Canis lupus familiaris: one gene and its partner. The protein of the gene in region 2 interacts with the protein of the main gene of each other region in a pairwise test. Links are inferred from orthologs where the notes say so. Each region holds a gene or a part of one and is shown on either strand. Other genes may lie near its edges.

Evidence for each region.
Region 1: the proteins of MCM3AP (region 2) and MCM3 interact in a two-hybrid assay, tested with the Homo sapiens proteins (2 studies listed by BioGRID). The link is inferred for Canis lupus familiaris from reciprocal best matches to the Homo sapiens genes MCM3AP and MCM3.

The regions. Positions count from the first base shown.
Region 1 is NC_049233.1:20,185,214-20,189,036, forward strand, and holds part of MCM3 (DNA replication licensing factor MCM3), read right to left. Parts: intron 3,768-3,823; coding exon 3,559-3,767; intron 3,112-3,558; coding exon 2,981-3,111; intron 806-2,980; coding exon 567-805; intron 101-566; coding exon 1-100. UniProt on the Homo sapiens protein: Acts as a component of the MCM2-7 complex (MCM complex) which is the replicative helicase essential for 'once per cell cycle' DNA replication initiation and elongation in eukaryotic cells.
Region 2 is NC_049252.1:39,531,320-39,535,142, forward strand, and holds part of MCM3AP (germinal-center associated nuclear protein), read right to left. Parts: intron 3,633-3,823; coding exon 3,442-3,632; intron 934-3,441; coding exon 794-933; intron 1-793.

The DNA of each region.
Region 1 (3,823 bases), on a different chromosome or scaffold from region 2:
AGTTTTACTGAACTTCTTGATCTTGGCTATATCCTCAGCAGAGAATGAAGGCTGAACGTCCTTGCTCATTTGCTTCACATTACAGGCAATCAGGATAGTCCTGGGACAAAGATAGGAATAAGAGGAAGCCTGCAGTTTTCAAATCCTAACATCAGAGCCAATAGCAATTTGGAAAACAATAAAGAAAAAAGACAAATTGTTCTGAATTCAGCAACTGACTAATCTTAGTCTGTGACACAAATATGCTGATAATTCTTCACCTCGGAATTTATCCTCTGCTGCCACACAGATCTTCGGACAGAAGTGTGGATGAGACGGAGGTGGGAATATGTGAACTCCCAGGTAAGCCATGAGGCTATGACCATGTTACCAGTAACTCCCACTTTTAGCATAAGATACTATTACCAGTTTTATCTGATGAAAAAGAGGTATCCCATCTCCCATGCAGCAAGGTTGTTCCACCTGTCTGTTGTGATGCTCCAGAATATGGCAAAATTGGAGCAAGAATACTACCAGAAATGCAAGCTGCCAGCAGCATGTCAAATACCTCACAACTGCCCCTTTACCTGAAGGTCCCTGAGGTGTAGCCTCCCTTCTTTCCCGGAAGGCAACGGTAGGTCCCCACCACCTGGACTCGGTCACCAGGCTTCACTTTATCTACCAAGTCATCATCCAGAATGACATCCACAGAGCGGGGAAGTTGGCCTGCTGGGGCCTTCTCCGGCATCTCCTGGATGGTGATGGTCTGATGGTCCTTGTAGACAGAAAGGCCATATTCGGTCTCAAGGGGATTGTTTTCCTCGTCCTGAAACAGACACACAGAAAAGCATCATTATCTCACCCCAGTCTTAGAAATGCCATACTCACTTTTTTGTTTTTAAAGATTTTTTTTTTTTTTTTTAATTCATGAGAGACAGAGAGAGACAGAGAGAGAGACAGAGAGAGGCAGAGAGAGAAGCAGGCTCTCTGCCTGGGAGAGGCAGGGAGCCCGATGTGGGACTCAGTCCAGGGACTCCAGGATCACTCCCTGGGCCGAAGGCAGGCGCTCAACTGCTGAGCCACCCAGGCATCCCCGTACTCATTTTTTATAGGAAGCAAATATAATTTGGAAATGACCTCCGGAGATTTTAGTATCTAGGAACAAAAAAAGCCAAATGTCTTCTCCAGTTTTTTTCCATTCCCATCTGTTATAGTAACAAATCATCTAATGGAAGGGACAACTATATCCTAAAGGAACCATGGCTCTATTAACACCTAAATTAAGATTCCTGTTCCCCCTATACTATGGCACAGTATTTCCCACTCCTAGGTAATACCCAACAGAAACATCTATCCAAAGCCACATACTACAATGTTCATAGCAATATTATTCCCAATAGCCAAAAATTAGAAAATATCCAAATGCCATCAACAGAATGGTTAAATAAATGTGGTATATCCACCAAAAAAAAAATACTATACAGTGATGAAAAGATATAAAATACACCTATAACAGCATGGATGAATCTCAAAAACATCTGATGAACAAAGGAAGCCCAATATATGAGTATTTAGATAAAATATAAAAGCAGGCAAAAGTACTCCATGTTGCTAGATATCAGAATAGGGTTAACATTTGGGAGTGTGGGTCCTCAAATATCTGAGTGCTAGGAAGGTACTGTTTCCTGGTTTGGATGCTGATTTTATAGGTATATATTTAGTGTATACTTATATAAACTTTCCTGTATGTATATTAAACTTTAGTAAAAACATTTTAAACTTTGACTTGCTTGCTATTTGAATTTTCTAAAAACAAAACAGCTGTCACTTATTGAGTGCTTACTATGTAGATGGCATTGTGCTGTTATTTATGAGATGATCTCATGTAATCATCCCAACTACTCAGTAAAGCAGATATTTTTCACATTAACAAATAAGGAAACTGAAGCTGGCAAGGTTTAAGTAAGTTCCCCAAGTCACATAGGAAATTGCAGAACCAGAACTCGAGACAAGTCTAACTCCAAAGCCATATTCTTCAGTACCACACTAGACGACCTCCAGGAGTCCAACGTATTTCAAGTATTGAGCAAAGAAGCCTGGCCCCTGTAATCATCAGAAGAGTACTCTCTGAGTACTTATGAAGACACTCTAGAAGGAGGGATCTTAATGAAAAAGAGGATGACTTAAAAAAGGCAAATGGCCTGAAAGTAAAAGGACATGAATCCTAGCCCTTAGGGTCATCACTAACTGGAACCATGTGCAAGTCACTTAACCTCTCTGAATTTCAGCGTTTCACCTGCAGATAGACTCAATGATTCTAAAGTATGCTTTAGTTATAATTCTAAGATACTCATTTTTGTTTTATGTTAAGATTCCTGCACCAATTGAGTTGAAAATAAGAACTGGGTCTCATTCGTATTTGTATCCTCCACAGTGCTTAACAATTATTTGGATACAGTGGCTCTCAATTAAAATTTGACGGCAGGGACAGGTATTCTTTGATAGAATGAATTCAGATAAGTATCCAACATTAATCATCTTGTCTCATTAAGAAAGCCTCCCATTGTTCTCAGTTCAGGCCAATCTGAACACTTAAGTAAAAAGCCATTCCCAATGCCATTCTTCTCCCAAACCCAAAGTAAAATATCTGCAAAGATTTCATGGTAACATTATAGCATAAACACTCTCCCATATTACTTTAGGTAGATGATAAAGTTATATATAACCCTGCTAAAAGATCAATGTAGATTAGTGTCTTTTTTCAATCCTTCTATAATTTGCCAGGTTTTCTAAAGTGAATCTTTATTCTCTTTAAAAAAAAAAAAAAAGAATTGAAGACTTTCCATATTAAACTCTAGCTAGCAATCAATCTTTCCTTTAGATTAATCCTTACTTTTCATCTGATTTACTTCTAGAAGACTTCAGATATCAATTATTTGCATTAAAACAGACATCTTTGATTCCAACTTCCCAAGAACCCCAAGTAATTCATTCCCCTCACCTTAGTGGGATAGACAGAGCTGGAAGGAAAAGCCACCAGGGTGGTGAGATCAGAATAACGTCGCTCTATAGTCTTCTTGGTAGCGGGGCAGTAGTGGACACTGCGGACGACTTTGGGACGAACTAGAGAGCCTAGCAAAGGAACACATGCATATAAAGTCATGCAACTAGACAGCAACAGAGGTGGAACTTGACCCAGGCAAGTCTATCTTGATTCTAAATACTGTGTTCTTCTGACTAGTTTAAGCTACTTCCATAATATTTGTTTTATTCATTTTTATATTTAGAACATCAACATTTCTATATAAAACCTCAAGTACAACCAATCCTGACCAAGAAATAATAGTTCAGAGTTAAGAATGAGGAGATTGCCAAGGGCCGAAACTCCCCTACGCTCAGCAGAATTCACCATTCTGGACCCCCTCATCACTGTATATGCTCACAGCTGCTTCCAGCTCCCCTCTGTCAGTTTAAGGCCCTACACTACCTAGCTCTACTCAGTAGCTCTATCTTCCTGCTTTCCCAGCCCTCTAAGTCTATCCCACCTCCGTTCCCTTGGCCCCACTTGAAGCCACTCACACTTAGTGACAATGCCCTCCACACAGACTACACAGCTGAGGAAGCAGGAGGTAAGAGTCCGAGGAGAGACATGCTTGGAGCCAAAGCTGCCCTCCAATCCTATGTAGAACTCCTCATACTGCTTGGCATAGGTAGCATCAATGGAGGCCACAAAATCCTTTAAAGCCCGCTGGAAGGCAACCAGCTCCTCAAAGGCATTGCTCAGGAGGCTGCACATCGGCAAGAGAGAGAATAATTAGGCAGAGAGAAAATTTCAAAAAATTGA
Region 2 (3,823 bases):
CTTAAAAATAAGATCCTTTAAAAAAAAACAAAACCTACCAACCAAGAGAGAAGGCATAAGCAAAATTAACAAAGAGGAAAAGGATCTAAAGTGGTACAGATTTCTCAGGAAACAATTTAGGAACACGCATAGGCACACACATCTTCAGGAATCTCAAGGAAGGTCACACCCTCTGATGTAGTAGTTTAATTCTTAGGATCTATCAGAAGGAAATAATCTATCTACTTCAGACTCACTACACATAATATGCCCAATAGGATTATTAATGAAATGTAAATATTAGAAATAGCCTATCTAGTGATTGCAAAATGGGAAGTTTTGATAGAGCTACATAATCAAACAATATACTTTCATTTAAAAGAGGCTGAGTTTATCAGAAAAGAAAATGTTCATAATTTTAAGTGAAAAGGATTCACACACAATTGCATCTAGAGAATAATCTCAACTGTCAAAACACAAACAGAAAAGGTAGGACTAAATTTGTGAAAAAAAGAAAAGAAACTTTTAATCTATGAAACAAATCTATATCTACATCTATACCTCAGAGCACCATGGGGTCAGTCACCTTACACAAGATTGTTTAGTACACACCTCACAGAACAATTTAGTATGAACATTCACGGTAGCCACACTCTAAATCCCTGCCACCCTCTACAAACGTAAACACCCAAATCAAGTATCAATATGTACAGAAAGTACAAAGAATACTACGTCCACCTGCCCCTATATATATCCCACCTCCACCCTGAAGATTAAATATGGACGGCAGCCTAGAGAGGTCAGGGGGCTTCACCTGGTCAGTCCCTGGGACCACTTCAAACACACTCAGCTGGCTCCGGGTCTCCCGCATGTACCGCTCCTTCTCAGGACACATATCTGGGCATGTCCCAACGAAAGTCCTCGCTTTGTCCAGGTCGGTTCTTTTCACTCGAGCTAAATGACAAGTAAAAATGTGTAACACAATTACTATGACGATAAAAGGAAAAATGAAAGCAAATGCCATACACAAAAGACGAAGTAAAGCACCAGTAGAGAAAGGGCAGTATGGCCTATAACGTCAGGTAGCAGGGCACCCAAAGGCCCCGTCCCCTCGCAACAGCCACAGGTCTGCACTGCATGCTGGCAGGGCGGCACGCATCGCTGTCCAAGGCTTTGTAGCAACTCAACAATGAACAACCGTGCTGCAGTGTGTTTGTTAAGATCAATTTGCTAATTGTAAATATTCCAAACACACTAGTGCTCTAAAAGTACTGCATTGGTTCTCTTTTATCCCATTACTACTATAACAGCAAACACCTTGGTCCTGATTAAACCACTGCCACTTCCCATAAAATTAAATAGTTACAAGTTATCTTTTAAGTGAGATGAAATACAACAACTTCAGGCTCAAAATACACACAGCTTATTTTTATTTTGGGAAATTTCAATACCCACTAATTTTATTTGGAATATAAAAATCACCATGTTGATATAATGTATGTATGATAACGTATGACAGTGATAACGTATGACAGCAGCTCTTACTACCATATTAAGGAAGCACTGTGATTATTCCACTTATTCACATATTCTAAAAGAAGAAAATCCTACAGCTAAAATATAATTTAAAAGAAACTTCGCAAAGAAAAGCACAAATACCTTTATTCATGGTCACTGCACACATTTTTTTAAAGGTAACAGAATATTTTTTGAAGAGGTAATATATTCAGATGGGTCATATTTGAAAGGTATAAAAATGTCAAAATAGAACCCCTCCCCACCTTGCTCCCCGCTCTGAGTCAACGTGAACATATCTTTTCATACCCCAGGACTATCGCATGTACCCGCAGGCAGGTACGCTCGTGTATGTACAGACACACGCTTCCCCCTTTATTTATATACGAACGGTGGCATACTACATACTTCCACACTATGATCTTCCACTTCACAATAAATCTTCATTTTTTTTCCATAAAGAAACCCCAGTCTTCTTTCAGACTGTTTAGAATCCTGCTACGTGGACAGTCAGTTCCCAATCTTTGTCGTCACAAACAAGCTTTTCTGTGAAACACACACGCAGGACCGCGTGTGGGACAGACACTGGATGAATGCTGGGTCAAAGGCAGACTTCCCTAAGGCTGAAAGATACCGCAGACCTGCCCTCTTCCAAAGGAGTGCAGCCGTCCACGGCCGGCCCAAGGACAGGGCAGCACGGCACAAGGGGGCAAAGGCCACCTCTGGGGTGTAACTGGCATCACTCTGTATGACGGGGTGAGCACCTTCCCATATGTTTAAAAGCCAATTCACGACACAGTTGACCCTTGAACACAGGTTTCAACTGCACAGGTCCCGTGGTACACAGATTTTTTTTTTTTTACAGCACTGTACATGTATTTTCATAACATTTTCTTCTCCCTAGCTTAATGTATTGCAGGAATGCAAGACGTGATACATATAACAAACAAAACACATGCTGTGTTATACGTGAGTCACCAGCAGGTTATTAGCAGTTAAGTTTTGGGGGAGTCAAAAGTTATATGTGGATTTTTGACTACAAGGGGGACGGTGTTCCTGCTCCTGCCTTTGTGTTGGTCAAGGGTCAAGTATACTTCCTTTTCTGTAACCCTGCTGACCCTCTAATCGTTTCTCAATTGGGCTGGTCTTTTCCACAGTAACTTCCACAGAACTTTCTATATTAGGGAAATCAGCCCTTTCTGAAAGGAATTACCAATTTTTACCCTGGGTTGCATTTCTTAAGTTTTATTTATGGAGATTTCTTTCAAACAGATTTGTTTAATATGTGCTTTCTGGGGGCGCCTGGGTGGCTCAGTGGTTGAGTGTCTGCCTTCAGCCCAGGGCGTGATCCTGGGGTCCCGGGATCGAGACCCACATCAGCCTCCTCACAGGGAGCCTGCTTCTCCCTCTGCTTGTGTCTCTCATGAATAACCAAATAAAAAAAAAAAAAAAATGTGCTTTCTGTCTAAAAATTACCCTTTAAAATGTTTAATTTTGGGATCCCTGGGTGGCACAGCAGTTTGGCGCCTGCCTTTGGCCCAGGGCGCAATCGTGGAGACCCGGGATCAAATCCCACATCGGGCTCCCAGTGCATGGAGCCTGCTTCTCCCTCTGCCTGTGTCTCTGCCTCTCTCTCTCTCTCTCTCTGTGTGTGACTATCATAAATTAAAAAAAAAAAAAAAAAAAAGTTTAATTTAGCACAGATCAATAGTTTATGGATTTTCTTCCAAATATAAAAAAAAGACATATCTGCATTATGTCCACATCTACACCCAGCCCCTTAGGAAACTAGTAAATAGCACATAATAGGCGGGGCACTGGAGGGCCCAGAGACTCAAGGACAGTGGACCCCACGGGCAGGGTTGCTCCCTCCTCACAGCTCCCGGAGTGACCTTATCATGACCTCAGCCAGGTTCCTGGACCACAGCTGAGATGTGCCCACCATACCTTGCCGCATGATCCTGTCCCTCTGGTCAAGCAGGCGGTATTTCTCCTCAGAAGTCTCAGCCACGGTACCTATCAGGGTGCTAAGGGATGATACACATGGCCCAAGACCTTCAGAGCCCTCAGAGCCCGAGTCAAAAGGGTCTCCTTCAAACTGATGGGTCTTTAGAAGACTTGGCTTCTTCACTGGAGAGCTACAAAGAAAAGTAACACATCAAGGGCTTGGCATCCGTCAGGTGCTTCCATCACTTCCACTTCTGAAGACGTTCTGCTCCTCCAAAACTGGAAAACTACAAGCACTGACTTGAGACAAGCCTTGACGATGCTAGTGAGCACAAAGGTGTTACTCCTGTCATTCACTACAGTCTTAAAATTTTGAGGGGTG